4 linked regions of the Anolis sagrei genome follow. The main gene of each other region encodes a partner of the protein of the gene in region 3 in a complex. Links are inferred from orthologs where the notes say so. Each region holds a gene or a part of one and is shown on either strand. Other genes may lie near its edges.

Region 1 (6,863 bases), about 68 Mb from region 3:
ATAAGCAGATATTGTGGATTATCCACCTTGCTATTCTGAGTTATATGGCTGTGTGGAAGAATCATAGAATAAGAGTTGGAAGAGACCTCGTGGGCCATCCAGTCCAACCCCCTGCCAAGAAGCAGGAATATTGCACTCAAATCACCCCTGACAGATGGCCATCCAGCCTCTGTTTAAAAGCTTCCAAAGAAGAAGCCTGCACCACACTCCGGGGCAGAGAGTTCCACTGTTGAACGGCTCTCACAGTCAGGAAGTTCTTCCTAATGTTCAGATGGAATCTCCTCTCTTGAAATTTGAAGCCATTGTTCCACGTCCTAGTCTCCAGGGCAGCAGAAAACAAGCTTGCTTCCTACTCCCTGTGACCAAGATATATAAAGAATATATATATATATATAAAGAGCTCTAGGATATATAAAGTATAAAAGCCTGAGTGCTTTCCTTGCAAGGAAACCCTTCAACACACTGTATTCCCTTTCCTTAAAAAGAAACTATCAATATTACAATGTATTGTCGAAGGCTTTTATGGCTGGAATCACTGGGTTGTTGTAGGTTTTTTCGGGCTATATGGCCATGTTCTAGAAGCATTCTCTCCTGACATTTCGCCTGAGGATGCTTGCCATAGATGCAGGCAAAACGTCAGGAGAGAATGCCTCTAGAACAGTGGTTCTCAACCTGTGGGTCCCCAGGTGTTCTGGTGATTAGAAAATGAACAAAATCTGGCTATCATTATTAAAAAAAATTCTAAAATTAGAACAGTGCAACAACAGAGAGGAAACAAACAAGGACATCTAATCACCTCTCAACAAAGGATTGCTCCAGGTACTGCCAGACAATCAAATGCTAATCAAGGTGGTCAGTTGAAACATTCACACCTAGCTGCAGCAGAAAAAAGTCCTTTGTCCCACCCTGGTCATTCCACAGATATATAAACCCATTTTCCTACTTCCAACAGACCTCACTACCTCTGAGGATGTTTGCCATAGATACAGGCGAAACGTCAGGAGAAAATGCCTCTAGACCATGGCCATATAGCCCGAAAAAACCTACAACATCCAGTGATTCCGGCCATGAAAGCCTTCGACAATCCAAGGATCAACCCTATCTCTACAAAGAGGTGCAATCTTTAGTTAAACTGCAAGATTTTACAAGGGACTCTCTGCCCTCCAAGTAACTCCTTTGAGCTTGGAAGTAGCCCTGTGAAGAGTGGCTTAAAAAGCTGGACATATTTAGTTTGAAGAAGAGAAGAGTGAGAGGAGACATGTATAAATACATGAGAGGAATTCATAGGGAGGAGGGAACAAGCTTGTTTTCTGCTTCCCTGCAGACTAGGACGCGGAACAATGGCTTCAAACTACAAGAGAGGAAATTCCATCTTCTTCTTTTTTGTCGTGTCAGGAGCAACTTGAGAAACAGCAAGTCGCTTCTGGTGTGAGAGAATTGGTCGTCTGCAAGGACGTTACCCAGGAGACGCCCAGAGATTCCATCTGAACACGAGGAAGAACTTCCTGACTGTGAGAGCCGTTCAGCAGTGGAACTCTCTGCCCCAGAGTGTGGTGGAGGCTCCTTCTTTGGAAGCTTTTAAACAGAGGCTGAATGGCCATCTGTCAGGGGTGATTTGAATGCAATATTCCTGCTTCTTGGCAGGGGGTTGGACTGGATGGCCCATGAGGTCTCTTCCAACTCTTTGGTTCTATCTCCCAGAATATCAAGGGTGAAAATCCCACAATATCTGCTTTGATCTGGGTTATCCGAGTCCACACTTCAAAGCAGAAAATGTGGGATTTTATTCAGCTGTGTGGAAGGGGCCTGAATACAGCAAAAGCACCCCAAGTTGTGAAATACAGATTGGCTGCAAATATGATGCAGGTAACTCAATCCCTCCCAACCAGATCCAGAGCTATTCTTTCTCCTGGGTTTACTTTGCAGCAAAGGAGTTTGGCAACAACAAACCTGACCTTTCCCAACTGTATCTTAAAATAGGATTTTCCAAATTGGTCCCCAACATGCCACAGGCTGTCCTGCTATCAACCACAACCCTGTTCGGGCTGTTTGAGGTGCATCTACACTACAGATCCAGTCCAACCCCCTGCCAAGAAGCAGGAATATTGCATTGAAAGCATCCCTGACAGATAGCCATCTACTTAAAAACCTCCAAAGGAGCTTCCACCACACTCCAGGGCAGAGAGTTCCACTGCTGAACGGCTCTCACAGTCAGGAAGTTCTTCCTCATGTTCAGATGGAATCTCTGGGTGTCCCCTGGGTAACCTCCCTGCAGACAGCCAATTCTCTCACACCAGAAGCGACTTGCAGTTTCTCAAGTTGACTGACCCCGCATTAGTTGCTATCATAGAATCATAGAATCAAAGAGTTGGTAGAGACCTCATGGGCCATCCAGTCCAACCCCCTGCCAAGAAGCAGGAATATTGCATTCAAATCACCCCTGACAGATGGCCATCCAGCCTCTGTTTAAACACTTCCAAAGAAGGAGCCTCCACCACACTCCGGGGCAGAGAGTTCCACTGCTGAACGGCTCTCACAGTCAGGAAGTTCTTCCTCATGTTCAGATGGAATCTCCTCTCTTGTAGTTTGAAGCCATTGTTCCGCGTCCTAGTCTCCAAGGAAGCAGAAAACAAGCTTGCTCCCTCCTCCCTGTGGCTTCCTCTCACATATTTATACATGGCTATCATATCTCCTCTCAGCCTTCTCTTCTTCAGGCTAAACATGCCCAGTTCCCTAAGCCGCTCCTCATAGGGCTTGTTCTCCAGACCCTTGATCATTTTAGTCGCTATGTCAGCATTTGGAAGCCCCTTCCCATCTCCCCCTCCTGCACACTTACAGAGTTTTCTTCATCTTCCCCTTTTTCTCCTCTTTGCTCGGGCAGAGGCTGGCGTTTTTCTCCATCGTGCTGCAGTTGTGCTGGAGAGCCAGGAACATTGCACTCTGCATAATCCCCGCAAGGAAATCCAGCAAGCTTCCAAGGTTGGCGACCACGCTTTGAGCCTCCCCTCCGCCCGGCTGGTCCTTTTATAGAGGCGGAGGGCTGGGAGGGAGACGCCCACCTCCCTCCCCCGGATCGCTGATTGGCTGCGCCGAGGGAGGCCTCCCCAAACAAGGAGCGCGCGAGCCCCGCGTCCTCAGGAGAACAGCGTTGACGTAGGTGGCGCGCGCCTCTCTCCCTCTTGCCCTTTTTTTTTTGTCTTTTGAGTTGCTGTTTGTGGCAAAAAATAGACCTCACGAGGAGTCGCCTGCAAACTGGGGACATGACTGAGAATTAGAAATGTGCATGAATATATATATAATTTACATATATATGTGTGTGTTTATTTATATTTATATATTTATATATAAATGTGCATGCATTTATATATATAATTATTTTTATATAAATATTTATATATATATTTATATATAAATGTGCATGCATATCTCTATATAAATAAAAATGTAATTTTAATGTATTGTCGAAGGCTTTCATGGCCGGAATCACTCAGTTCTTGTGGGTTTTTTCGGACTATATGGCCATGTTCTAGAGGCATTTCTCCTGACGTTTCGCCTGCATCTATGGCAAGCTTCCTCAGAGGTGAGGTCTGCTGAAACTGGGGAAAAAAGGGTTTATATATCTGTGGAATGACCAGGGTGAGACAAAGGGCTTTTGTAAGTTGGGCTAGGTGTGGATCTTTCAACTGACCACCTTGATTAGCATACAATGGGCTGACTGTGCCTGGAGCAAACTCTTCTTGAAAGGTGATTAGATGTCCCTGCCTGTTTTTCTCTCTGCTGTTTTTGCTGTTGCAATTTTAGATTTTTTTTAATACTGGTAGCCAGATTTTGTTCATTTTCGTGGTTTCCTCCTTTCTGTTGAAATTGTCCACATGCTTGTGTATTTCAATGGCTTCTCTGTGTAGTCTGACATGGTGGTTGTTGGAGTGGTCCAGCATTTCTGTGTTCTCAAATAATATGCTGTGTCCAGGTTGGTTCACCAGGTGCTCTGCTATGGCTGACTTCTCTGGTTGAAGTAGTCTGCAGTGCCTTTCATGTTCCTTCATGCGTGTCTGGGCGATGCTGCGTTTGGTGGTCCCTATGTAGACTTGTCCACAGCTGCATGGTACACGGTAGACTCCTGCAGAGGTGAGAGGATCCCTCTTGTCCTTTGCTGAACGTAGCATTTGTTGGATTTTCTTGGTGGGTTTGTAGATTGTTTGTATATACATGTATATACACACAACGAAACACAACATGCAAACAATCTACAAACCCACCAAGAAAATCCAACAAATGCTACGTTCAGCAAAGGACAAGAGGGATCTTCTCACCTCTGCAGGAGTCTACCGTATTCCACGCAGCTGTGGACAAGTCTACATAGGGACCACCAAACACAGCATTGCCCAAACAAGAATCCAGGAACATGAAAGGCACTGCAGACTACTTCAACCAGAGAAATCAGCCATAGCAGAGCACCTGATGAACCAACCTGGACACAGCATTTTATTTGAGAACACAAAAATGCTGGACCACTCTCACAACCACCATGTCAGACTACATAGAGAAGCCATTGAAATCCACAAACATGTGGACAATTTCAACAGAAAGGAAGAAACCATGAAAATGAACAAAATCTGGCTACCAGTATTAAAAAAAAATTCTAAAATTGCAACAGCAAAAACAGCAGAGAGAAAAACAGGCAGGGACATCTAATCACCTTTCAAGAAGAGTTTGCTCCAGGCACAGTCAGCCCATTGTATGCTAATCAAGGTGGTCAGTTGAAAGATCCACACCTAGCCCAACTTACAAAAGCCCTTTGTCTCACCCTGGTCATTCCACAGATATATAAACCCCCTTTTTTCCCAGTTCCAGCAGCCCTCACCTCTGAGGATGCTTGCCATAGATGCAGGCAAAATGTCAGGAGAAATGCCTCTAGAACATGGCCATATAGCCCGAAAAAACCCCACAAGAACTGAATGTAATGTTAGTTCGTGCTGCCATCAGAACTCAAAAACCACTGGATGAATTGACACCAAATTTGGACACTAGACACCTAACAGTCCAATATATGTCCTCCACTCAAAAAAATTGATTTTGTCATTTGGGAATTGTCGTTGCTGGGATTTATAGTTCACCTACAATCAGAGAGCATTCTGAACTCCACCAATGATGGAATTGGGCCAAACTTAGCACACAGGGCTCCCATGACCAACACAAAAGACTAAAAGGGTGTGGTGGGCATTGAGCTTGAGTTTGGGAGTTGTAGTTCACCTACATCCAGAGAGCACTGTGGACGCAAACAATGATGGATCTCGACCAAACTTGGGACGAATATTCCATATGCCCAAATATGAACACAGATGGAGTTTAAGGGAAATAGACCTTGACATTTGGGAGTTGTAGTTGCTGGGATTTATAGTTCACTACAATTTAAGAGCATTCTGAAACCCACAAACGACAGAAATGGGGCAAACTTTACATAGATACACACATGCAAATACACACATACACTTAAATATGCATGTTGTGTGTGTAAATATATGTGCATACATATATTTGTATGTATATATACACACACATGCATATATACAGATATACATTTACACACATATACACACATTTATGCAGACATATACACACATGCATATATGTACACACAGTACATATATATATGCACACATATACACATGCATTTATATTTTGCATGTATATACACACAATATACATATATACACACATGCATATGTATTTATGCACATACATATATACACATAGTATATACATGCATGCATGCATGCATATATATATATATATATATATATATATATATATATATATATTTGCGCGCACATATACAGATATGGATGGATGTTATCCTTGGCCTGACCTTGAAGGAGCTGGGGGTGGTGATGGCTGACAGGGAGCTCTGGCGTGGGCTGGTTCATGAGGTCCCGAAGAATCGGAAGCAACTGAATGAATAAACAACAATACACACACACACATATATATACACACATCCATATATATATATATATATATATTAGCACACACAGATATATACACATATATACAGAGTTCTGCAGGGATATATTAACCCAGTTATATACACAGTTAATATGTGACAGTTCTACAGTCAACTACTCTTGCTGTCGTGAGCTATTCAAATATTTTTCTATTCATACATATTTGAATACAGAGTTCTGCATCTCTCTCAATCTGTAGGCGTGTTTTTTTAAACTTTGGGTACCTCTTTTGTTTGCAGACGGATTCATGGCAAAGACCATATATGGAGTGGATCACATCTGAACAAGATGCCACTTTCCTGGTGAATGGCAGAAGGGCTGCGTTGCAGCCGTAGGTTTTCAGTGATGCATGCACAAGTAATCCTTGCTTTTTAAATCTACACAAAGATGCCCATGGGTGGGGTTGTGGGGGTGATTTCTATAAGCCAGGAAAAATAAATTTAAAAATCCCCATCCCTTCAGCTTCTTTCATATGGTTTTGAAAATTGGCTTTGGAAAAGGATGCCTTGTGCTTAGCAGATTCTCAAAGGGGTGTTTTACCTACCAAAAACACATTAGCAAAATCATGATGAAACTAAATCCGTTCCATTGAATGCAGTTGGACTGGGCTGTGATCCTGTACACACTTAAGGGGAAAAATCACACCAAACCAGTCAAACATCAGGGAAGAAGCATCAGAGGATGGATCTACACTGCCATATAATCCAGTCAGTCAGGAAAACAGGCATGTAATAGATGTATTGTAATATATGTATTTTGTGGTGTTGTGTTTTAATGTAAGCATTGTATGATTATATGTTTTATCTGTGTTATTATTATTATTATTATTATTAAACTTTATTTGTACCCCGCTAGCAT
Region 2 (7,778 bases), about 4.3 Mb from region 3:
ATACCTGGGTTTTGGCAACAGCAATGATGATTAGTTATTTCATATCCTCAGTTATTTTACTGGGCTGGAGCTCGGTTATGTTGTTGGATGGCAAATGAACACATGACAAGTTTGCCCTCTTGATAGTTTTCTGTAACATCAGTGAATGAATGGGACTGGACAAGGAATTATGCAATGACCTTTAGAGAAGTTCTGCATGTGCCTCAGGTGCATGACGATAATGGTCACACTGTGCAGGGATGTCATAGGTCTAAATCTCACACTCTGCCACTGGCTCTGCTCAGTAAAATGAACCCTACCTCAAGCCAGGCATGAACATCTGGCTTCTTCAATTGAGAACACTGGTATTCTTAAATGGGAGACTTGCACAGTAGGTGTCCCTATACTGCATGATTTAGAAACAAATATTATCCTTGAGACTTTGCTGTTGTCATCTAACAGCCTGATATGGTTTGTATGGAAGCTGCTTCTATATTTAATCCAACTGTTGATCTGTCATATATAATCTTTTGAAATGAAAACTATTGTCATTTGTATTGTCGAAGGCTTTCATGGCCAGAATCACTGGGTTGTTGTGAGTTTTCCGGGATGAATGGCCATGTTCCAGAAGCATTCTCTCTTGATGTTTCACCTTCATCTATGGCAGCCATCCTCAGAGATTGTAATTTCGTCAGATTCAATCACCTCCTTGTCCTTGTAGATGGGCCACCATTGTTTTGGAAAGACATGTTTTAAAAGCCATGATGATCAGTGTTTGTAGAAGCCGGAGGGATGCGAGGAGGTAAAAAGGGGGTCTTACTTTCAGATTTATTTGGTCGACTGCAAAGACAAGGAGATATAAATTGTTCTCCATGTGGCATGATACATATGACCTACTGGGAAGGAGGATAGTATTTAGCAATCTAGCACTTCAAATTTGTTAATTTATTCTGGGATGATGGGATCCAAAAAGTTCCAAAATAATTGAGGGAAAAAACCACTGAGGTGGAAAGGAAAATCTATCTTATCCTTGGGAAACTCCATTTTATGTCAGCCTTCTCCAAATTGGTGCCTTCCAGGTGGGTTGTAACTCCTATCAACCTCAAACAGCACAGATAATGGTTAGGGATGGTAAGAACATCTGGATGACACAGAGTAGGAGGGAAAGCTGTAGGTCTCTCTCTTTTTCCGAATCACATTTCTCTTTCCCAACTTGGCAGTTGGCAGTTCAAAGCCCGGCATGGGGTGAGCACTCAACCTTTAGCCCAGCTCACTGTCCACCTAAGCAGTTCAAAAAACAGCTGTTAGCTATGAGTTGAGAAATTAGGTACTGCTTAAGCGGGGAGGTATTTTATGGCACCATAAAAAGAAAATACCAGAAAATGCCAGTGATCAAAGGAAGGAGGAAGCCTGTGATCAAGGGCTTTTCATCATAAGGGATGGTACAACAGCGCCTCCCTGTGGCCACAATCAAGCACAACCTCCAGGATGCCGAAATTGGGGGAAATGCCGACATTTTTTATCTATCTGTTGTCTGTCCTGTCTGTTTAATGGCATTGAATGTTCACCATGTATGTGTTCTGTGATCTGCCCTGAGTCCCATTCAGAGTGAGAAGGGCAGAATATAAATACTGTAAATAATAAAATAAAATCTGCAGCTCTTTCCCTTCATTCAATACAATTAATTGTAGTGAGAGACCCTCCCTTTCTCTTTGTTACATTTGCTTGTGTATATAGAAGAAGGAAAAGGGCTGCAATCATGAAAATCTTGGAAGAGGAAACACAGTTCACCCCCCCCCCCCAATTCATTCTACATAAAACAAAACGTGGGGAGGGGGAATTAATTTTTGCAAAGGCAGCAAAAAAGCTCAAGCCAGCTTTGACTCCAGTACGTACAGTAATAACCTTGATGAGGCAGAATGTATCTCATACATCTGCATCTGTTCCTTGCATCCTGCTTGTTGCTAATTCCCAGGGAATTCCTTTCCTTTCAGTCACAGCTGAAATAACCAAACTTGATGATGTACCCTGTTTCTACTGAAGTGCTATAATGTGAACAGTTGAGAGAAATCCCAAGGGGGCAATCAATACCATTAATCTACTGCCTGTGGTAGGCGGGATGGTATGGAGGGGAGGGGGTGTGATTACTCAATATGCCTCAAGACTGGAAACTTACCCTTTTCTATTTGGTTACATTGTACAGATTATTAGGATCCTGTGCCATCTCTGCCCACACTTAGGAGTAATCTCTGATGATCTTGCTTGTAAGTTTTGTTTTACAACCCAAGTCCATCACTGTGTTCTGCAAATGTTTTAAATTATACATACTCACAAATAGAGTCGCCCCTGGGCTGAGAATTGCGGTATATAAGCGAAGTAAATAAATAAATAAATAAATAGACCTCCCTCCCTCTGGCTGGTGTGATTTCACCAAGGGAGCCCTCAGTGGGTTAAACCCTTGTGCCAGCAGGACTGAAGACTGACAGGTTGCAGGTTCGAATCCGGGGAGAGCGCAGATGAGCTCCCTCTGTCAGCTCTGGCTCCCCATGCAGGGACATGAGATAAGCCTCCCACAAGGATGTTAAAACATAAAAATATCCTGGTGTCCCCTGGACAATGTCCTTGCAGACAGCCAATTCTCTCACACCAGAAGCGACTTGCAGTTTCTCAAGTCACTCCTGACACGAAAAATACAAAACAAAACAAAAAATTATGGGAGTTCAGATATGCTATATAAAACAAAACATAAAATGGCTCTCTTGTTACCTCTGTGTGTTTATACACTTGAAATTGATTGCAGACTATGACTGGCATTGCCCTGGTGGTATCTGCAAGCCCTGTTGAGGTGACAGCCTGCAACATGCTGCAGATGGATTTTCATGACCAATTTATGTATCAATCATTATTATCTTGATGGACCGGAGCAGTTAATTCTGCCAATGATAATTTCTAGAGGGTCCTGTTTTGGATTAATTAATTGCTAGGGCACAGTGACTATTTCAGAGCCACCGGGATTTGCAAGTGACTTTCCTCATTAGCATGAGATTTCTTACAAATTGAGAGCTATGCTGACCATGTGTAGGCAGCATATTGTTGCTTTTAGGCTTGATTGGATTATGCCTGCTGTGTACTTCATGGCACGCACAATGGCATACAAGGGGCACAATTAAGATAGCTGTAGCTGATTGATGAAAGGTTCCATTTTGATTGTTATCCACCAAAATTAGGTGATAATTTTTATTAAACACTATAATGTGGTAAGATTGTTTTGCAGGCAAACATGTGTTTACCCCAGCTGCCTGTTCTGCTTGTTTGCCTATCAATCATTCCTACATGTATGTTTGTGCATTGTTTGGATTACTCATTTGCAATCTATTAATGATCATTGTGATTTGGGAACTACTTTCCTCTGCACGTCTCAGGAAGGAGAGCAAAGTGTTGCAGCTCTCAGAAAAACAGTTGTTCTAGTCCTATTTTGTTAATGGTGAAATAAAGATGTGGTCAGGAGCACCCTCTTCTCCAGGGGATTCAATTTCAGGAGTGAAACTCTTCAGCATAATTTGGAAGATATCCATTTTTGTGGTATTTTGCATTGCTACCATGGCACATTTCCTAACAGGTAAGATTGCAGAGGGCTAATGTATGAACAGTATATAATATAATTAAAAAGGCAATCAATTCCACTGCCATTGTCAAGTATGTTTACATGGCTGCTTTGGATATCTAGTGGTAAGATCCACAGTGCCACCTGTCCTTATAAACATGTTCTGTATGTCTTCATGTAATACACCTGATCTCATCATTTATACTGCATCTTATGGAGTCTTTTTTTCTATCTTTCTGATGTTTCCCATGCCCTGTTTTTAAAATACATGTGGAAGTATCTTCCTTCATTTTGTTTGTGTGTGTGTAGCAATGAGTCCTGTGGCACTATAACCATGAACAAATGCTTGTGCTTGCTTGGATTACAGTCGGTTTCATTAGATGCATGATGTATCCCCCCCCCTTTTTTTTACAATGCACAGCTGAGAGATTTGTCTATATTTCTGGTATTTTTGAATGGTCTGTCTGTCTGTCTGTCTATCTATCTATCTAAGACAAGAATGGTCCAAAATCAGGCTGCACATGCCTTTCTGTAGAGCTGTTTTCCGCTCCTTTTCCCCTGCCACTAAGGTGTACTAGTTCTTTAAAAGGCTGGTAGAAACCAAAGCTTAAGCAGCAGCTATTAATGCAAAACTTCCAAGCCTCCCTCCCTCTTGATCGCTGGAGATGTTATCAGGCTGAATGTAGTTTAGCCTGACTGTGGAATCCCTTCTCTTTCCTTACTCCTTTCCTTTTGGGTCCACGGAGCAGTCCTCTCTTGCAAATATCCCCAAACGGTGAGAGGAGAAGAGGGGAAAGAAAGGGGGGGGGGGCATCAGTCTTAAGAGACAGGAGGGATGGCTCCTCGTCCAGAGCCACACATTACCGTGCCTCAAGGCTGGAGTCCCGCTGGTCTATGAGTTCAATTCTAGGATTTCTTGGCAACTGGATGGTGTGCGCCTCAGCCTCGCTGCTCCCTCCGGGAAAGCCGCTTTTCTTTAGCAAAGAGTCCGAGATTCCCAGCCAGCGTCTTTCTCTCGCCTCTGGCTAGCACCTGAAGGGGCTCTTTCAGCACCACTGGAGGCGGACAGCTCCTCCGGACCAGCCCCGGCTTCCTTTCATTCCCAGGCACTTGGGAAGGAGCAGCCCGTGCGGCGCGTGGACGCGCTCGTGGGTGGACGCGCCGGCGCGCGTGCACGCGGGAAATGAGAGGGAGGGAGGGAGGGAGAGAAGGAGGGGGGAGAACTCAAACCTCCCGCTAGCCCGACGAGGTCCACCAAGATCCATTAATTACCAGGAGGTGAAAGAGGAAAGCAGGGGAGCTGCACCGGGCACGGGAAGGGCTTGTCGAGGGAGGCGAAGAGAAAAGAGGGGAGGAGAAAAGGCAAAGAGAGAAGAAGAAGAGGAAGAGGAGGAGGAGGAGGAGAAGAAGATCCCCCGCCAGGAACTATGCCAGACCCATCCTGATTTTGGACAGGAGGGAGAAGCGCCGAAGACCGCAAAAGGCAGGAAGCAAGGGACGGGGAGGCTTTTCTTTCTTTGTCAACCAGGCAGAATTCCCCCCCAAGGAGTTGAGCAGCGCAAGTGCTGGGAATAAAGAGAGAGAGAGAGAGAGAGAGAGAGAGAGAGCCCAGCGCCTCCAGAAAGTGAAGCCTGCAGGGAAGTCGGGAGGGAAGCTTGGATTTCTTTCTCTAGTCTACAACATTCCCGGCATGGGAGGATTTCACCCAACTTCGCTTGATTTCTGAGGGTGAGTAATTCCCCTCCATGGTGGTTTTATTTATTTATTTATTTCGTATCAAAAGCATTGCAAACATTAGTATAAAACTGATAAATATAGAATTGTATGATGGTGAAGGGGTTTGGAGGGATTGCCCTCAGCATACCTTCCTCAAGTCTTATCTCATGCTCTCCTTTGAATCTGGAGAAGCCTGCGATTGCCTTACCATTTGGGAATGGCAACGTGCCTCCCCTTAATCTTTGGAGGGAAAACGGGGTCTCTCTGAGATCTTTGTGCTTGGGGTTCCTCTGGAGCGAGAGGCTGTCCCGGGTTTCTCCTCCTTAGGATGCCAATGGAAGGACTGACCACCTGTGAGGAACTTTACCCTGGGTTGAGAGGGTTTCGATGCTGGAGGCGATGTTCATGAACGTGGCAGCACTGCCAGGGGGGCTGGATGGGTGATAGAAACATAGAATCATAGAGTTGGAAGAGACCTCGTGGGCCATCCAGTCCAGACCCCTGCCAAGAAGCAGGAAAATCGCATCCAAAACACCCCTGACAGATGGCCATCCAAAGAAGGAGCTTCCAACACATGATGAATGGTGTGTGTGTGTGGAAGGGATTGCAGGGCTGAAAGGGGAGATGTTCCTTGCATCCCCTCCCCTCCCGTGCGGTCAATATAGCAGGGTTCCCATCGCATGGAGAGAGGGCAGGGGGAGGAAAAACTGCAGCAAACGCTGGGGGGCATTGGAGCCAATGGGCAGGCAGACAGGCGCCTTTGCTTTTGCTCCGTTCCTATTTAGGAAAGCTCTCTCTACGCCCCGAGTTATTATTTGGCTCCAAACGCTTCAGCCTTTTGGTGACATGGACCAGAAGGACGTTTGAATCTGTTCGGGTTGCAGAAGAGTTTCTTATTCTTTTGTAAAATGGAGAATGGTTTGAGGAGCCAGTGTGATCAGATAGGGCATAGGGAAGAAGAGCTGGAAACCGGTCCAGACGCCACTTGGGTGATGTAGTGCTACGTGATGCTTCTTGTAGATGGCTCAGAAGATGCCTTTGCCAGATCTTTCGGCCTCTTTCCACCTTTCTCTTCCCGGTGAATGGCATTCATGGTTTTCTTCTGCAAGCCCCTGAGAGAGACCTGGGGATGGCTCTCCCTCCGGTGCCTGCGCTTTTCCACCTCTTTTACTATGTGTTGCCTTGGAATGGGAAAAGGCGGCGCTGAGGAGGTTTGGCTGCCTGGGCTGGAACTCTCTCTTCTCTCACACGCCTGGAGGCAATGGACCCTTTGCTGCTGTGGCTTTGGAGGCTGAGAAAGAAGCCCAAACGCCTCTCTCACTCTTCTCCATTTAGTTCAGCAAGGGATTGTTATTGTCCCTTTGGCTTGGGGATACCTTTGTAATACCTTCTGTGAAAGAACGACTCAATGGATGCGAGTTCCCCTTCGGCAAAGTTGTGTTTCTGTGAATGTCTGTGTGCCTTTAAGTCTCCTGTCAACTTATGGCGACCCCAAGAATCCTATAGGGGTTTCTTAGGCAAGGAATCCAGTACTCAGAGCTATAGGAGAGAGAAAGAAACACACAGGGCATGGAGCTGTCCACCATGGCTCCCTAGTTAGACAGCTCCTTCTTCAGGTTAACTTTTTTCTTCCCACATCCCCAAGAACTCAAAATCTGGCACATTTCCCTGGCATTTTGCTCATTCCTAATAAAGGCCCAGCCCTGAATTTTGTCTGAGCTAGCCAGTCTTCCAGGGAGGCCACTATTATGCATCACTACAATGGTCTCTTTGGATTTCTCAGGCAAGAGGAGAAGCAGAGGTAGTAGCTGCCAGTAGAAGGAAAGGTGAGATGAAGTTCTTATTTCTGCCTTCAGCAGTAGCATAGGCACAAAGATTGGTGTTTTCACTGCAGGTAGGAAATTACTTGGACCTGTGCTGACTAAGTCTCACAGCTTCTTGTGAATGGAAGTGGGGAGGCACCCCATCTTGGTAGGATTTTGTGATGAAGGGCACGATAACCAGTCCACTTTGCATCCTCTCACTTCTTCCTTTGAGAGAGTTGCTGTTTTTGAAATGTATCTCAGAACACCAGACTCAGACTTCTGCTTATACAGTGTAGTAGAAATGAATTTGACTTGCATTTCCTTTTGGGAGAGCTCTCTGAATGCTGTTTGGTGAAAAACAGATCTGGGATATCTACATAAAAGGAAAGTTGGTGGGACATAACATCCAAAACACCCATTTCTGAATGCCCCCCTGAATTGCAGCTTCCATACTTGTTTGTTTTTGTCATGCCCTTCCAGACCTGGCAGGCAGTGTTTTCTGCTCTGAAATCCACCACGATCAATTTGATTATATCAGCACTTATGAGGCTCAAGTATGAGTCACGGTTTATTGTTGACTCACCTTTGGCCTTAGGTTGAAGAAGATTTTACAAGGTATCACTGAAACAAGCTGAAGGATTTATAGCACCAGGGGCTCATAGCACAACGTAACC
Region 3 (6,888 bases):
GGAAAACAGTGACTTAAAAAAAGTTACAGTGGATCATTAACTCTGTAGTTAAGGTCACAGGCAGGATGATGTTGCTACAGCCTACAAACATCAACATCCAAACCACCATGCTTCAAACAAAGTCTAACCTACTCAGTATCTCAACAATCTACTCCCCTGCCATCACACTTTATATGTAAATGTGGAAAAGTCTGAATCTTGTATTTCTTAGCAAAGATTTTCAGGGAACCATGGGGAAAGCAGATGATAGCTTCAAGCAAACCCTGTGTGGGTAGGAACTGGTTTTCCTTTATTATAAGAAGTGCCACATTTCTGACATTTGGGAAGTTTTTCCTTTTGCACAGATTGAACAAGATGATATATATAACCTGTGGTCCGCAAGAACTAAAATAAGGTTTAAGGTCTCACTATTACCACATCGTTGCAACGAGAGCGACGGGTCTCGCAAAACTCTCTTATATTGCTGAGGCTTTTTTAATATGGTTTTTTTTTTTGGGCTAGCAGATAGCAACTACTGGATGGCATATGTTCTGGATCAGAAACTAGAGTTGATGTGGTCTCTCCAATGCAGTTTTTTGAATCAGCACGCCAAATAACCAAACCAAATCTGAAGTTGACCAAAAACTGATTCGTAACCCTTTTGGTACTAATGTTGGAGTGGTCCCTGGTCAAAAAAAGGTTGGGAACAATTGATCTAAGTCAAAGAATGGACATATGCATACATGTTAGTTGACTGATTTGTACCACAAAGGCTTGATGCATCTGGACAAAACTTGGCACACGTACCGTTCATTATCCAACTTAAAATAATGAGTTTGAATTAAAAAGAACCCACCCATTTTTTGGCACAGAGCTGAGGGAACGAAAAGACACAAAGTGGATTGGCTGTTGCTAGGTGCAGTGGCCCTCTGTCCATGTGACTGGGATAGAAAGGAGGAGTGAAGCTGATTAGCTCATACTAGAAGACATATGTAGGGGGAGGGGAGAAAAGAAGCGAAAGTAAGCAATGGAGGGGGAGAAAAAAGGAAGGAAGCGAGGGAAAGGTATGAGGGGAGGGTAGAAAAATGGAAGAGAAAGGAAAGAAGAAGGGGAAGGTGTATAAATGGAAAGTGAAGGAAGGCATTCGCTTTCACTTATCATTATTTAAATTACTTGTTTTAACTTGTGTAATGTATTGTCTTACTTGTTGTCTATATTTTTACTTTGTTTCATACAGGCATTGAATGTTTGCTTTTATTATGTTGGAAGCCGTCCTGTGTCCCCTAAGGGAGATAGGGCGGACTACAAATAAAGGTAAAGGTTTCCCCTTGACATAAAGTCTAGTCATGTCCGACTTTGGCAGTAGACCTCATCGTCATTTCTGTCCATAGATGCATGGACTGCATGGAGCATGACAGCATGGAGCGCAGTTGCCTTCCTGCTGAAGTGGTACCTGTTGATCTACTCGCATTTGCATAATTTCGAACTGCTAGGCTGGCAGAAGCTGGGGCGAACAGTGAGAGCTCACCTTGCTCTCCAGATTCGAAACACGGACCTTTTGGTCAGCAAGTTCAGCAGCTCAGCAGTTTAACCCACTGTGACACCGGGGGCTCTGGGCTACAAATAAAGTATTTGAAAGCCTTCAACACACAACAAGTATTATTATTAAGGAAGAAGGTGGATGAAGGCAAAGAAGAGCCACAAAGAAAAATGAACACCCAGGAAAATGCAGGGTGTATCTATGTATGTATGTGTCTGTATATATCACACTAGCCATCCCCTGCCACATGTTGCTGTGGCCTAGTCTGTGTATATGTGTTTTGTGTGTGTATATGCGTATATCTGTGTGTACATATTTGTGTATATATGTGGTTTTGCGCATGCATTGTAATGTATTTAGTTTTTTGGCTTTTTAAGTCTCTTCTGATGTGTTTTAATGAGTGACTGTCACTCATTGGTCTGATAAGTGTATTGTGCCCAAATCTGGCGTCAAAATTTCCTGTGGTTTTTGAGTTATGTTAATCCCACAAACAAACATTACATTTTTATTTATATAAATACACACCAAATTTAAAATTTTACATAAAATCACCTTCAAGCGGTGTGTATTCAAAACAAAAGTGATCTAAGGGCTGTTGGGAATTATGGGAGTTGAAGTCCGAAGCTTGCCCATGCCTGATCTACACTGTAGAATCAATGGGGTCTGACATCCCTTTCAACTAATGCGGTTCACGGCTATGGATCAGGCTATGTCCCTCTATATTAGGCATGGGCAAAGTTGGGCCCTCCAGGTGTTTTGGACTTCAACTCCCACCATTCCTGACAGCCTCAGGCCCTTTCCTTTTCCCTGTCAGCCACTTTTGGACTTCAGCAGCCTCAGGCCCTTTCCTTTTCCGCCTTAGGCCCCTTTGGGGGAAAAGGAAGGGGCCTGAGGCTGTCAAGAATGATGGGAGTTGAAGTCCAAAACACCTGGAGGGCCCAAGTTTTCCCAAGCCTACTATGGATGGACTCCTGGGTGTTGTGGTTCGGAGAGGCCCCACAAGCCTTTGGCAGAGAAGGCCCAAGACCTCGCAACGCCACGACTCCCCTGATCCTGTAGCACGGAGACATGGCGGCTGAAGTGGGGCCAGGCTGGACGAATTCAAACTGTGCTCGAGCAGGGCTGGGTCTCAGGCCCTTGCGAACTGTACCGGGGCGAAGAGCGTGGCTTGGGCCTAACCGCCGCCTTCCCCCCGCCTAAGGCCCCGGCCCCACCCTTCTCCTCCTTCTCCTTCTCCTCACCCAACAGGAGCAGCTTCACCTCCTTGGCCGCCTTTTCCCCGTCTTCGCGGAGGTTGCGGTCGATCATGCGGCTCCGCTCGACCGCCGCCTTGTCCTCGGCGCTCAGCGTGCAGCCCATGGCGGCGGCGGTGAGGGACGGGAGAGGCCTTAGGCGGCGCCTCTCTGCCTCTCTCTCGCTCTCTCTCTCCTCAACGGTCGCCGCGACTCGAGTTGGGAGGCAACGGGGAAGGGAGGGGCCGGAACGAGAGAGGCACCGGAAACTGGCCTGCTTCCGCTCCTCTACTCCAGACCGACCGACGAAAGGCGAAGTGCATCTTGGGAAATGTAGTTGAAGAACAACCCCGGGGTTTTGTTAAACAATAGTTCTCCAATATGTTTTGGACTTCAGCTCCCAGAACGCCTCAGCTGCTTTGGACCATGGTCAGGGGTTCTAGGGAGCTGAAGTCCAAAATACCTGCGAAACCAGCGTTTGGGAAACATTGAAGGCTTGTGATCTTACAGGCGCAGGAGTCCATAACTATAACTATAGAACAGGCATGGTCAAACTTGGACCCTCCTTCCAGGTGTTTTGGACTTCAACTCCCACCATTCCTAACAGCCTCAGGCCCCTTCCTTTTCTGCCTCAGGCCCCTCTGGACTCCAACTCCCACCATTCCTAACAGCCTCAGGCCCTTTCTTTTTCCCCTCTCAGCCATTTTTGGACTTAAGCAGCCTCAGGCCCCTTCCTTTTTCACCTTAGGCCCCTTTGGACTTCAACTCCCACCATTCCTAACAGCCTCGGGCCCTTTCCTTTTCCCTCTCAGCCACTTTTGGACTTCAGCAGCCTCAGGCCTCTTCCTTTTCCGCCTCAGGCCCCTTTGGACTTCAAGTCCCACCATTCCTAGCAGCCTCAGGCCCTTTCTTTTTCTGCCTCAGTCCCCTTTGGACTTCAACTCCCATCATTCCTAACAGCCTCAGGCCCTTTCCCTTCCCTCCTCAGCCACTTGTGGACTTCAGCAGCCCCAGGCCCTTTCCTTTTTCACCTTAGGCCCCTTTGGACTCCAATTCCCACCATGTCTAACAGCCTCAGGCTCTTTCTTTTCCCCGCTCAGCCACTTTTGGACTTCAGCAGCCTCAGGCCCCTTCCTTTTTCTCCTTAGGCCCCTTTGGACTTCAACTCCCACCATTCCTAACAGCCTCAGGCCCTTTCCTTTTCCCTGTCAGCCACTTTTGGACTTCAGCAGCCTCAGGCCCTTTCCTTTTCCGCCTTAGGCCCCTTTGGACTTCAACTCCCACCATTCTTAACAGCCTCAGGCCCTTTCCTTTTCCCCTCTCAGCCACTTTTGGACTTCAGCAGCCTCAGGCCCCTTCCTTTTTCACCTTAGGCCCCTTTGGACTCCAATTCCCACCATGTCTAACAGCCTCAGGCTCTTTCTTTTCCCCGCTCAGCCACTTTTGGACTTCAGCAGCCTCAGGCCCCTTCCTTTTTCACCTTAGGCCCCTTTGGACTTCAACTCCCACCATTCCCAACAGCCATACATGAGGTTGACTTATACATGAGGTTGACGTACACATGGGTATATACCAGGCATGGACAAACTTGGGCCATCTCTCCATGTGTTTTGGACTTCAACTTCCACAATTCCTAACAGCCTCAGGGAAAAAGGAAGGGGCATGAGGCTGTTAGGAATTGTGGGAGTTGAAGTCCAAAACACCTGGAGAAAGGGCCCGAATTTGCCCAGGCCTATTACAGAATCATGTAGTTATAGAATAACTGAAACTATAACTACATAATTGTAGTCGTGGAATCATGGAGGTTGTATAAGGTCATGAGCCTTCTCTGCCCAGCCTTCCCAATCTGCAATTCCCAGGATTCCCTAACATTGAGCCATGGCAAATAGGCTATGCTGGTGGAAGCAATGGTGCTGGTATGGGCTCCCATGTCTGACAATTTTTTTATTTGGAGCCAAACTAAACTGGATTCAAGTCAAAGGGACTTGTCAGCTGTTGACATGATGAAAGGTAAAAAGGAAGTCTGAGGCTGCACATGTTATAGGAAAGTGGATTGTGAGAAACATTAACCAGGGAATTGAATGTATCAACCTTGCAATACTTGGGGTGAACAAATTACAGTGGACAAGAATAGGACGTTTTGAACCAGAAAATTACATATATAAAGTACATATCTGGATGCAGAAAATGGAGAAGATACATTCTTTCTGCAAACAAACAAACAAAAAACCCCAAGACCAGGAGCAGAATGTGGCACAGACCATGAATTTCAAAAACTGAAGTAGAGTTGAAGGACACTAAGCCAATTGTCATGCCAGAATACAACCCAAGAACATCACTGTAGAATTTAAATATAATGTAGAAATAGATTTGCGCTATTAAGCCTAATTCACCAAGAGCCAGATCTGAAGCCAGGGACTTTGTTGGGGAGGAATACAAAAAGACACTTTTGTAGCAAAAAAAGAGAGTGAAAGCAAAGAAAAGAAAGTTTCCACAAATGAAACTCTTCAAGTAGCTTAAGGGCAGATGAAATGTAAATGCAAAATGGAGAGAAACAGAGTCAGAATTCTAAATGCAACTGTTTATCAAGGGATAAGAAAAGCCACTGTAAAAACCAATAGAGAGAAATAGAAGATGACAGCAGAAAAGGATGGACATGAGACTGAAACAAAATGCACAACTGTCTGTATCTTTGCCCAGTCACAGGTGGCTTAAGTAGGAACATACTAGGAGGCTATGCTCACTCAGACAGCAGGCTATTTTTCTCTCTTGACAGCTGTAGCTCAATTTAATACAAAATACTTCCAACATTTGGGTCTTTGGGATCTTCTTAACAATCCTCTGGAACTATGGGGCTTAAACATTCTGCTCTCACTCAATTGGACAAGAGTCCAATTTGTAACTAGAAAAATAAATGAAACAGGATGTGTCTGTGGATTGTGTGTTACAGGAACAACCCTTAAAAAGGAAATTGTGACTCTTCCTCCCATTTCATAACCCAGTCTCCAAAATAGAGAAGTTGGTGTACAGGCTGTTCTGTCGCCCTCTAGGGACCTTTTCTAGGGAATGTTTCTCCCACCCTGGACATTCCACAGATATATAAACCTCACTTGCCTAGTTTCCAACAGATCTCACAACCTCTGAGGATGCCTGTCATAGAAGTGGGACCCCCCCTGAAAGAGAAAAAACACGAATTTACTATTTTTTTTAACCAGAGATAGAACCTCTCTAGGAATTTCTATATTTTTCAGCATAACTCTTTATTTTACTGTCTACTGGAAGCTGACCATAGAAATGCAATGCAGTACTTAGAGATTCCTAGGGAGATATTCATGATTGGATGAAGGTGGCTATAAAGACACACTTGAAGACTTCAAGATTCCTACAGAGACAATTTTAATCAGATCCATGAATAATCAAATTCACAAGTCAAAAATGCAAATGTGAAGGGATGGGTGCATATAAATTTTCTGTAGGATTGCTTATTCCCTCTTGCCTGAATTTCTGTGTGGAGGGAAAATATTTTAATGACGATGATGACAATGATGGAAGAGGAGGGAAGGAGGCATGGGCTTCCTCTTTATGAATGAATATAAGGAATTGTTATCACTTTAGTGTAGGGTGAATCTAGCACGAAAATAATTTGGCTGACCTGAACATTGCCTCACACATGCTTCTGGATACTGCATACCTACTCCAGATCAGAGCTTTGGAAAGATACTTTTTCTGGACTACATATCCCATAATCCTAATATCTAGTAGGTACTGGGATATGATCTCCAAAAAAGGGACTTTTCTAAGCTTTATCAAGATTGCCTCTCTATTTGGAGCTGATTATCAGAGTATTATCTACAAGCAGACATTTATAAAACATTTACTGTGTCTTTTGTCCCAAACAAAATGAGTACAGAATTAGTTTCCTGACACTGGGAGGGAGAAAGTGAGACACCTGTTGCAGGTGATAAATCTGTCACTCCCTCCTACTTTAGAAGTAGGTGTGGAGGCTCATAATTTCCCAAAGAAAAAAAAAACAAAAGAATCCTTTGTAACTGGTACCCACAGACAGAGAACAAACATAAATTAAACCAGTTTTGTCAGGAAATGCAGCTATAATAAAGATTTTTGGGTCTGTGTTGC
Region 4 (8,006 bases), on a different chromosome or scaffold from region 3:
AACAACAGATTACAATAAAATAAAATACAAATTACAAAAAATAAACAACATCGCAGTAAAATACAAAACATATGAATACAATAAGCAGTATACACAAAACCTAAGAAAGCAATAAACAAACATAATGACAGTGAGCGGGCTGCATGTACAATAAAATGGTTTAAAAACTCAGGGTGAGATAAAAGGAGCAGATTATTTGCATGGGAGAACTCAGTGTAATAGACATACCTTTGTACAAGGGCGGGAGGGGGGGGGGATACTCCTAGGACAGAAACATTGAGGGGGAGCAATAGCTAAAGCTTGTGTGGCTACTCTCCAAAAGTGCAGCGGCAGAGCCAGGTCTTGAGATTCTTTTTAAAGGTTTCTAGGCTAGGGACTTTCCTAATCTCACCGGGCAATGAATTCCAGAATCGAGGAGCTACGGAGGAAAGGGCTCTCTCCCTTGTATTATTATTATTATTATTATTATTATTATTATTATTATTAATCACCATCATCATCATCATCTTTATTTTTAACCTGTCCCCTCTTCCCAAAGGAACTCAGGGTGGCTCCCAAAGGCAAACATAGGAATCAAACAAGCAGTTAAATCAAATAGTTACAAATAAACCAATAAAACAACAAAGACTAAAACATGTAGTCAATCAACCTCATAAATAACACCACAGGCTGGTAAAATCCATATAAAAATAAAAAATACACAAGCATATAAACATGACTCTCTAGTAAGTTAAGGAAATATAATCACTGTCAGCATCGTCAGACAAGATAAAAGCAATAATAAGCTAATCATCTTCCTCCCCAAAGACCAATGTACAAAAGTATGTTTTTAAGTGCCTCTAAAAGGAAAAGGAGTGAAGAGACTCTTCTGATTTCCACAGAGAGGGAGTTCCAGAGGGAAGGAGCGATCACTGTGAAGGCCCCACTCTCATGTTCACACCAACTACAATTGAGACAGGGGTGGGACTGAGAGCAGCCCCCCTCCCCAATGACCACAGTGTCTGTATTGGTTGCGGAATGCGTTTAGTTAAATAGCCTGGACCCGGACTGTTTAGGGCTTTAGGGCATGTTTATACAAGGACCATTTTATTTATTTTAAAGGTAGTTCAGGCTTTGCTTTGGGATGCTCTTATCTTTCCCTAAAACATAGATTTGTGCTCTTTCCTTATGTTTGTTGGCTGTTATTTCTGATTTGTTGTTAAAAGGTTTTGCGGATTTGATTTTATCACTGAAAACGTAACTGGAAGATGTTAAGCACTTTTTCCACTCATACTGGCTATTTATAGCACTGTTTTCCTTTTTTAAAAATGGTTTCTTTTTCTTAGACTTATCATATTGTTTATGTAAGCCATCTTAAATAGCAAGAAGCATAAAACAATTGCTCTTATAAATAAGTAAAGCTATTTGTGGGGTTGCACTAGTTTCATTTGTCTTTCTGCTTCTAACAAGCAACCAGGGAAATAATTGGAATAGTAGGGAATTTAGTGACATCTCATGATTTGCTTGAAAGTCATAGATTGATAGCATAGCCTAAAGTACAAATGACTTTCCAACTCCATTTATTCATAGGGATACTATGAGAGCAATGGCATGGATTTTAAGGAATGTTTTGAAGCCCAATAGCTTATGAACTGGACATGTTCCGTTTTCTTATTTACTTAGGCAATCCCTTGTTGTCCCAAATATGACAGCCTTCCAAGTGTAGTGATGGTGGTTACATGACTGTGGAGCCCTATTCTTGATTCGCATGTTCTTCCACAGTGAGGGAAGTGCAGGTCTCTTCCAAACACCCTTTATCCCAGAATATCAAAGCAGAAAATCCCACAATATTTGCCTTGAACTGGATTATCTGAGTCCACACTCAGATAATGTGGAATTTTCCGCCTTAATATTCTTGGGTATAGGGCTGTGTGGAAGGGCCCTCAGTTTAAAGTGATGATGGTTACCTTTAAAGTCCTAGATAAATTTGGTCCAAGGCATCTTCCGTTGACCAGAAGCTATCGATATTCTACACATCTCAGCAGAGATCCTCTTCCAAATCTTTCCATGGTCTGTGCATTAGGTGGGTAGTGAAAGAGCAGAATACTTTCTTGATTGTGTCACCCCAAATGTGAAAAAGCCTGGTCCTAAATTTGATGTCCATTTAGAAGCAGGGAAAGACAAAGTTCTGCAACTTTCCGACAGATTTGATAGTAAGTTTCAAGTGGCAGTTTTTCTGTGTACAGTATTTTATGGACTTGCATTGTTGCTACTTCTGTGACAATTATTTCATTGGCATTTGTTTATTTTGGTTATTTACATATGAGAGATGGTTGGCATATTTTACATGGCAAAGTTATAGATCAGTGTAATAACCAAATAATGAAGAACATCTAGGTCAGAGGTATGAATTGTGGCCTTCATGGATATCCAAAGGATTCAGTTCTGCCTTCTATGTTTTCTAACATCTACATGTAGCTGCTAGGGGAAGCCATCTGGAGTGTTGTGGCTGTGTGTCGCCAAAGTTTTGATGATCCCAGATATAGCTGTCCTTTACAACTGTTGGCAGGGAGGTAGTTGAAGTCCTGAGTCATGCAAAGAAGAATTGGATGTCGGCCTACAAATTGAAGATCAAACCATACAAGATAGGAGCACTGATGGTCGGGAGGAAGTCTAACCTGGAATTTGGAATCGTTGCTGTTCTGGGTATGCTTGCACTCCTGGTGAAAGCACAGATTCATAAGGATGCTCTTGGACGTAGGACTGCTTTAAGGCCAGGTAGCTGCAGTGGCCAGGAGTGTACATGTTCTGCTTCAGTTGGTTCAGCTTGGCAATGTTGTGCTATCATGCCTTAGGCCACATCTACACTGATCACTTAAGTCAGTTTCAAACAGGCATTGAAGAAAGTGATTCCACTGAGCAGATTATTACATAGGAAACCCTGGAACCAGTTTGATGCCCCGGCAATTATTACACAGAACATTGATGTGCTTTAAGGGCTTTCTTTCAGACACTTCTTTCTCACAAGAGTCTGTTGTCTATCACCACAGGTTTGAAGCTAGCTTCAAGCTGCATTAAAGGTAGATGGGGCCTTAGTTGCCACCTGGTTAGATTGTTAAACATATTCTATATGATGCTGCCCTGTTCAGGCGCTGCAACTAATACAGCATCCCTACTATTGAAGGTATATGTACTTAAAGACCACATAACCATGAATCTTACAAGAACTGCACTGCCTTCCATTTCACCTTTGATAGTAACTCAGTGTGCTGATTTTGACCAGCAAAATCTTTTTAAAAGCATTGTTCAAGGATATTTGAAAGAACGCCTTCTCTCACATGAGCCTGCCCTAATTTAGAGATCCTCAGGGTTGCATATCTCAGCATCTGATAAGACTAAGTTGGTGTTCATATGGCAGGACCTTCTCTCTAGCAGAACCCTGACTGTAGAATTTCCTGCCAAAAGATGTTTAGCTGGTTCCATCTCTTCTGAGCAGGCAGCTAAAACAGTATTGTTCCATCTAGTCTTTGGTGTTTGATATTGCTCTGCTGTTTTAATTGCCTGCTTTTAAACAGTAAATAAAGAGCAACACTCAAAAACTGGGGAACTCCAGACAAGAAACAATCAGGGACAGCTAATCACATCTCAACAAAGGATTTCCCCAGGCAGCAAGGAGCCTCACCTTAAAACTGCTAGGTCATTAAAAGCTAAGTGGACAATTTCATCAAAAAGGAAGAAACCACGAAAATGAATAAAATCCAGCTACCAGTACAAAAAAAAAAACTTCCAAAATTATAACTGTAAATAAAGAACAACACTAAAACACATGGGAACTCCAGGCAAGAAACAATCAGAGATTGCTAATCACTTCTCCACAAAGGATTCCCCCAGGCAGTAACAAGCCACTTCTAAAAACTGTCAGGCCATCAAATGCTCAGCAAGGTGGCCAACTAAAACATTCATACGTAGCTCCAACAGACAAGAGTTCTTTCTCCCATAGATATAGAAACCCCATTTTCAAGAGTTCTTTCTTCCACAGATATAGAAACCCCATTTTCCTAGTTTCCAACAGACCTCACAATTTCTGAGGATGCCTACCATAGATGTAGGTGAAATGTCAGGAGAGAATGCTTCTGGAACATGGCCATACAGCCCGAAAAACTTACAACAACCCAGTGATTCCAGCCATGAAAAACTTTGACAATACATTGCCTTTAAATTGTTTATGATGAGTGCTTTTAGTTTGTTGTCAGGCTTTCATGGCCGGAATTACTGGGTTGCTGTGAGTTTTCCAGGCCATATGGCAATGTTCCAGAAGCATTCTGTCCTGACATTTCACCCACATCTATGGCAGGGAACCTCAGACCCCTCAACCTCTGCCATAGATGTGGGCGAAACATCAGGAGAGAATGTTTCTGGGACATGACCATACAGCCCAGAAAACTCACAACAACCCATTGTTTTTAGTTTCTTTTTAACATTTGTATCTATATATTTAATCTTTTAATTGTTTTTATCTGATGCGGATCACCATACGGATCCTGGTGAGCAATATCTAAATACTTTTAATAAATGAAAAAATAAAAATAAATGTTGAGAAGCCTAACTTTAAAAGTGCACCTCTGGAGAGGTATGAAGATCCTTATTGTTTAAGGTTAATGTGCTAGTTGTGAGGAATAAAAGATTAATAATGCATTTTGAGGAGGGGAGAGGGGCTCTTTCTCTGAAAGTTCAACATTATTTCTTTGTGCATCTGAGCTGATTCTTTTACATCTGTTCTGTTTTAGGCAAACTAACACTGTAGTGGTCCTCAAGAAGCTGCTGGACTTTGCAGAGTGTAATGAAGAAACCCACTGGTGAGATGGATAACTACAGCTAGTGGATTACCATCAATTAGCCATGTCTGCCAAATCCATCGTGTGCACTGTTCCAAAGAGAAACAGTTTGTTGGAATGTATTACATTTATCCTTCTTACATTTTGAAGTTTGCAAGATAATCCCTTTGTGAAAAGGAGGAACAATGACTTTTTATAGTTTTTATTTGCTTTTCTTTGCGTTTACTTGGAATACCTCTGCCTATGGACCAAATCAAAGGGCACAAAAGAAAGGAGATATTATTCTCGGTGGACTATTTCCCATTCATTTTGGAGTAGCTGCTAAACACCAGGATCTGAAGTCTCGGCCAGAATCTGTAGAGTGCATAAGGTAAGCTTACGCAAAAATATGTAATATACGCTCAAGAACTCCAGTGACCATAGTTCCCATCTCTATGAAGTGAAACCAAATGCTGATTTTGTAAATAGTCTAGAATTTGTCCTGTTGGGTCTTTTTTTAAAGTCATTTCCCACTGTGGTCACAAGTGCTGCCTATCCATGAATGTATGACGTTGTTATATTAAGTTCGGATGTTGGTTCATCTAACCCAGAATGTTATATATCTGTGATTTGAAGGTACTCCATGTATCATATCAGACAACATAGTCTCTAATGCAATTGTTATAGTGTCAGAAGTGACTTGAGAACATACTGTAAGTTGCTTCTGGTGTGGGAGAATCAGTTGTTACCATCCTGTGGGACATTTCTCTCATGTCCCTGCATGGAAAACTGGAGCTGATAGATGGGAGCTCACCCCATCTCGTGGATTTGAACCACCGACCTTCAGGTCAGCAGTTCAGCCATCACAAGGGTTTAACCTATTGCAACACCACAGCTACATTTACCAGTAAAAATGAAATGCACAGATATAGAATAGGTAACACTTTGCTGGAAAACTGTACACGTGAAAGGGATCTAGGAGTCTTAGTACACCACAAGCTGAACATGAGTCAACAGTGTGGTGCGGCAACTCTGGGTTGCATCAATAGAGAAATACTGTCTAAATCAGACCTGCACAATTTCCCAGTAGTAAGGGGCTGAAATTAGATATGCTAAGTCTCTTTGGGCTGCAGATAGCACCTCACTTTTGAATTAAGGTAGAATTGTCCTGAGTTGCCCTTCAAAAACAGCATTTAGACAATGTTGAAAGTAAAAGAAAAATGTTTTACTTCAGCAAATACAAAGGATAAGCAAATACAATTGAAAAGTGCAAAAGAAAGCAAGGTAATCTTAATCCAGACACAAATTAAAGTCTCTTACAATTTCCCAAAAGAAACAGCAGTCTTCCATCAGACAACGGTCAATGAACTAAGTCTTTAGAAGCAGACACAAAGCAGATTCCATTGGAGTGAAAACAGCAGTATCAGGATCGTTGTTACCAGCGAAAGCTGTCTGCTCCTGCTTCTGATTTATAGCCCTGAATTCCCAACGTAGGAGGTGCTAGGGCGTCTCCCAATTAGCTCAGCGTTTTTTAGCAGCTATCTTAGCTGAACACCGTCTGTGCTCTGTCTCTAAGGCTCAGAAAAACAGAAAGTCAATCAAGTGACTCCTGGGTCCTGGGGATTGTTGGCAATCAGTCTCTCAGCGGGGAGTCAAGTGGAAGAATCTGTCTTGTTTCCCAAGACAGCCACATAGTCCAAAGTCACATAAGCACTACATAATATAAATTATGATATTTGATAACCTTGGGTGTTGCCCTGATCAGCTGTACAACAGAAGCACAGTTGTAAAAACAGAATAGTAACATATTGGAGCGGGCAGTTCAATTAGGCAAAGTTTTGCAACAGTGAAGAAGTTAGAAAGGAGAAAAGGAAAGAGACAGTCCCAGAAAACCTGGCAGAGTGAATTTTGTTAATTAAAGAAATGTATGATTTCATGTGTGTGTATATGGATGCAGTCATGCTGGCCACATGACCTTGAAGGTGTCTAAGGACACCGCCGGCTCTTCAGCTTAGAAATGGAGATGAGCACCACACCCCAGAGTGGGGCACGACTGGACTTAATGTCAGGGGGAAACATTTACCTTTACATTATGTGTCGGTGTTTCCTGGGGTGACAAGAAACACCTATACATATCCTTTTATTTTTAATTACCTTGAGGCTGAGAGGGTGGGGCTCAGGAGGTGAGAGAAAGGTCAATCCTGAGTTGTTGGAGTCACAACTTAATCTTGGCTCTAGGGTTCCTTAGATTCACAAAATGATACTTGACCAGATTACGGTGTTAGGTCTTCCTGGACATTCAACTCCCCCCCCCAAAAAAAAACAGTTTCCAAAGCTCATATATCAAGTTTAATTAGCTGCCTGGGAATATGTATATGGTTGTACCCCAGGTTTTGTGAACTGTATGTGACTCTTCTCCCCTGACTTCATTAATAAAGAAAAAAAATATGTGCAAGAGTTCTCTTCCAGTGGCAAGAAAAAAGTAGTTATTTCAATGCAGATGTGCATAGTTTCCTTAATGCGGAAGAGAGAAAAAGAGGGAAATTACCCTGAGAAAGTAGATAATGGAATCTTATGCCTCCCAAGTTTGTCAGATAATAATAAAAATTCAATTCCACTTTACATCTTTTAATTAGGAACTATGAGGTGATGCTTACAAGGAAACAAATCTATTAGCATGGTAAAATTGAATTATTTATAGTGGTCACTTGGACAGCATGACACAGTTGCTGTTCCCACTCAGACCCTATTACATATTTCAAACCCAATAAATTCTGTTTGCAATCCTAAAAAGTGAGTTCTCTGAAAAAATTGCATTTTGTAGTACGGAAGTACTACATCAGTTATGCTCTCTGACATCTTTAATAGAAGCAAACTTTACAAAAGCATCATAAACCTCCAACATGTTACCACATTGAAAGGAAGTCAATCATTGGATTCCCTTTAAGATGCTTCTCCTGATCTCCCTCAGGAAGTGTGAAATTGAATTAGGCAGTCTGCTATTCAAGGATCGTGTTTTGGAGGGAATCACTTTCCATTTTTTTCTTAGCAAACTAGGATTCACTTTCCACTGATTTTTTTTTTGCATCATGTCGAGTAATCTGAAATTTATTTTAATTGGCAATCTTTAAAGGTACAATACTTAAATTCATATCCAGTCCTGACAGCATAAGGAATGTAAGAGACCCACTGAATCTAGCATACAAAGTTCCT

What was found.
Region 1: the proteins of GNAI3 (region 3) and RGS2 are in contact, whole or in part, in a crystal structure (PDB 2V4Z), measured with the Homo sapiens proteins. The link is inferred for Anolis sagrei from reciprocal best matches to the Homo sapiens genes GNAI3 and RGS2. Residues at the interface, in NP_006487.1 of Homo sapiens: Val179, Lys180, Thr181, Thr182, Gly183, Ile184, Val185, Gln204, Ser206, Glu207, Lys209, Lys210, His213, Ala235, Glu236, Asp237, Glu238; in NP_002914.1 of Homo sapiens: Glu104, Phe105, Glu108, Asn109, Glu143, Ala144, Pro145, Glu147, Ile148, Asn149, Asp151, Phe152, Leu180, Asn183, Ser185, Arg188.
Region 2: the proteins of GNAI3 (region 3) and GRM4 are in contact, whole or in part, in a cryo-EM structure (PDB 8JD6), measured with the Homo sapiens proteins. The link is inferred for Anolis sagrei from reciprocal best matches to the Homo sapiens genes GNAI3 and GRM4. Residues at the interface, in NP_006487.1 of Homo sapiens: Ala31, Lys32, Val34, Lys192, Asp193, Leu194, Thr219, Phe336, Thr340, Ile343, Ile344, Asn347, Leu348, Cys351, Gly352, Leu353, Tyr354; in NP_000832.1 of Homo sapiens: Pro616, Lys619, Ala620, Gly622, Arg623, Glu624, Arg676, Ile677, Ile680, Phe681, Gln683, Gly684, Lys685, Arg686, Ser687, Val688, Ser689, Ala690, Ile694, Ser695, Pro696, Phe781.
Region 4: the proteins of GNAI3 (region 3) and CASR are in contact, whole or in part, in a cryo-EM structure (PDB 8SZH), measured with the Homo sapiens proteins. The link is inferred for Anolis sagrei from reciprocal best matches to the Homo sapiens genes GNAI3 and CASR. Residues at the interface, in NP_006487.1 of Homo sapiens: Ala31, Lys32, Gln304, Glu308, Lys314, Asp315, Thr316, Lys317, Glu318, Ile319, Tyr320, Thr321, Phe334, Asp337, Ala338, Thr340, Asp341, Ile343, Ile344, Lys345, Asn347, Leu348, Glu350, Cys351, Gly352, Leu353, Tyr354; in NP_000379.3 of Homo sapiens: Lys644, Ala645, Asn647, Arg701, Val702, Val705, Phe706, Ala708, Lys709, Pro711, Thr712, Arg716, Trp719, Phe801, Ile869, Val872, Arg873, Thr876, Ala877, Ala880, Phe881, Lys882, Val883, Ala884, Ala885, Arg886.

Annotation. Positions count from the first base shown.
Region 1 is NC_090024.1:116,337,386-116,344,248, forward strand, and holds the start of RGS2 (regulator of G-protein signaling 2), read right to left. Parts: upstream 3,017-6,863; 5' UTR 2,947-3,016; coding exon 2,837-2,946; intron 1-2,836. UniProt on the Homo sapiens protein: Regulates G protein-coupled receptor signaling cascades. Inhibits signal transduction by increasing the GTPase activity of G protein alpha subunits, thereby driving them into their inactive GDP-bound form.
Region 2 is NC_090024.1:188,836,008-188,843,785, reverse strand, and holds the start of GRM4 (metabotropic glutamate receptor 4), read left to right. Parts: upstream 1-4,766; 5' UTR 4,767-5,311; intron 5,312-7,778.
Region 3 is NC_090024.1:184,493,906-184,500,793, forward strand, and holds the start of GNAI3 (guanine nucleotide-binding protein G(i) subunit alpha-3), read right to left. Parts: upstream 3,014-6,888; 5' UTR 2,879-3,013; coding exon 2,761-2,878; intron 1-2,760. UniProt on the Homo sapiens protein: Heterotrimeric guanine nucleotide-binding proteins (G proteins) function as transducers downstream of G protein-coupled receptors (GPCRs) in numerous signaling cascades.
Region 4 is NC_090022.1:198,540,899-198,548,904, reverse strand, and holds the start of CASR (extracellular calcium-sensing receptor), read left to right. Parts: upstream 1-4,999; coding exon 5,000-5,184; intron 5,185-8,006. UniProt on the Homo sapiens protein: G-protein-coupled receptor that senses changes in the extracellular concentration of calcium ions and plays a key role in maintaining calcium homeostasis.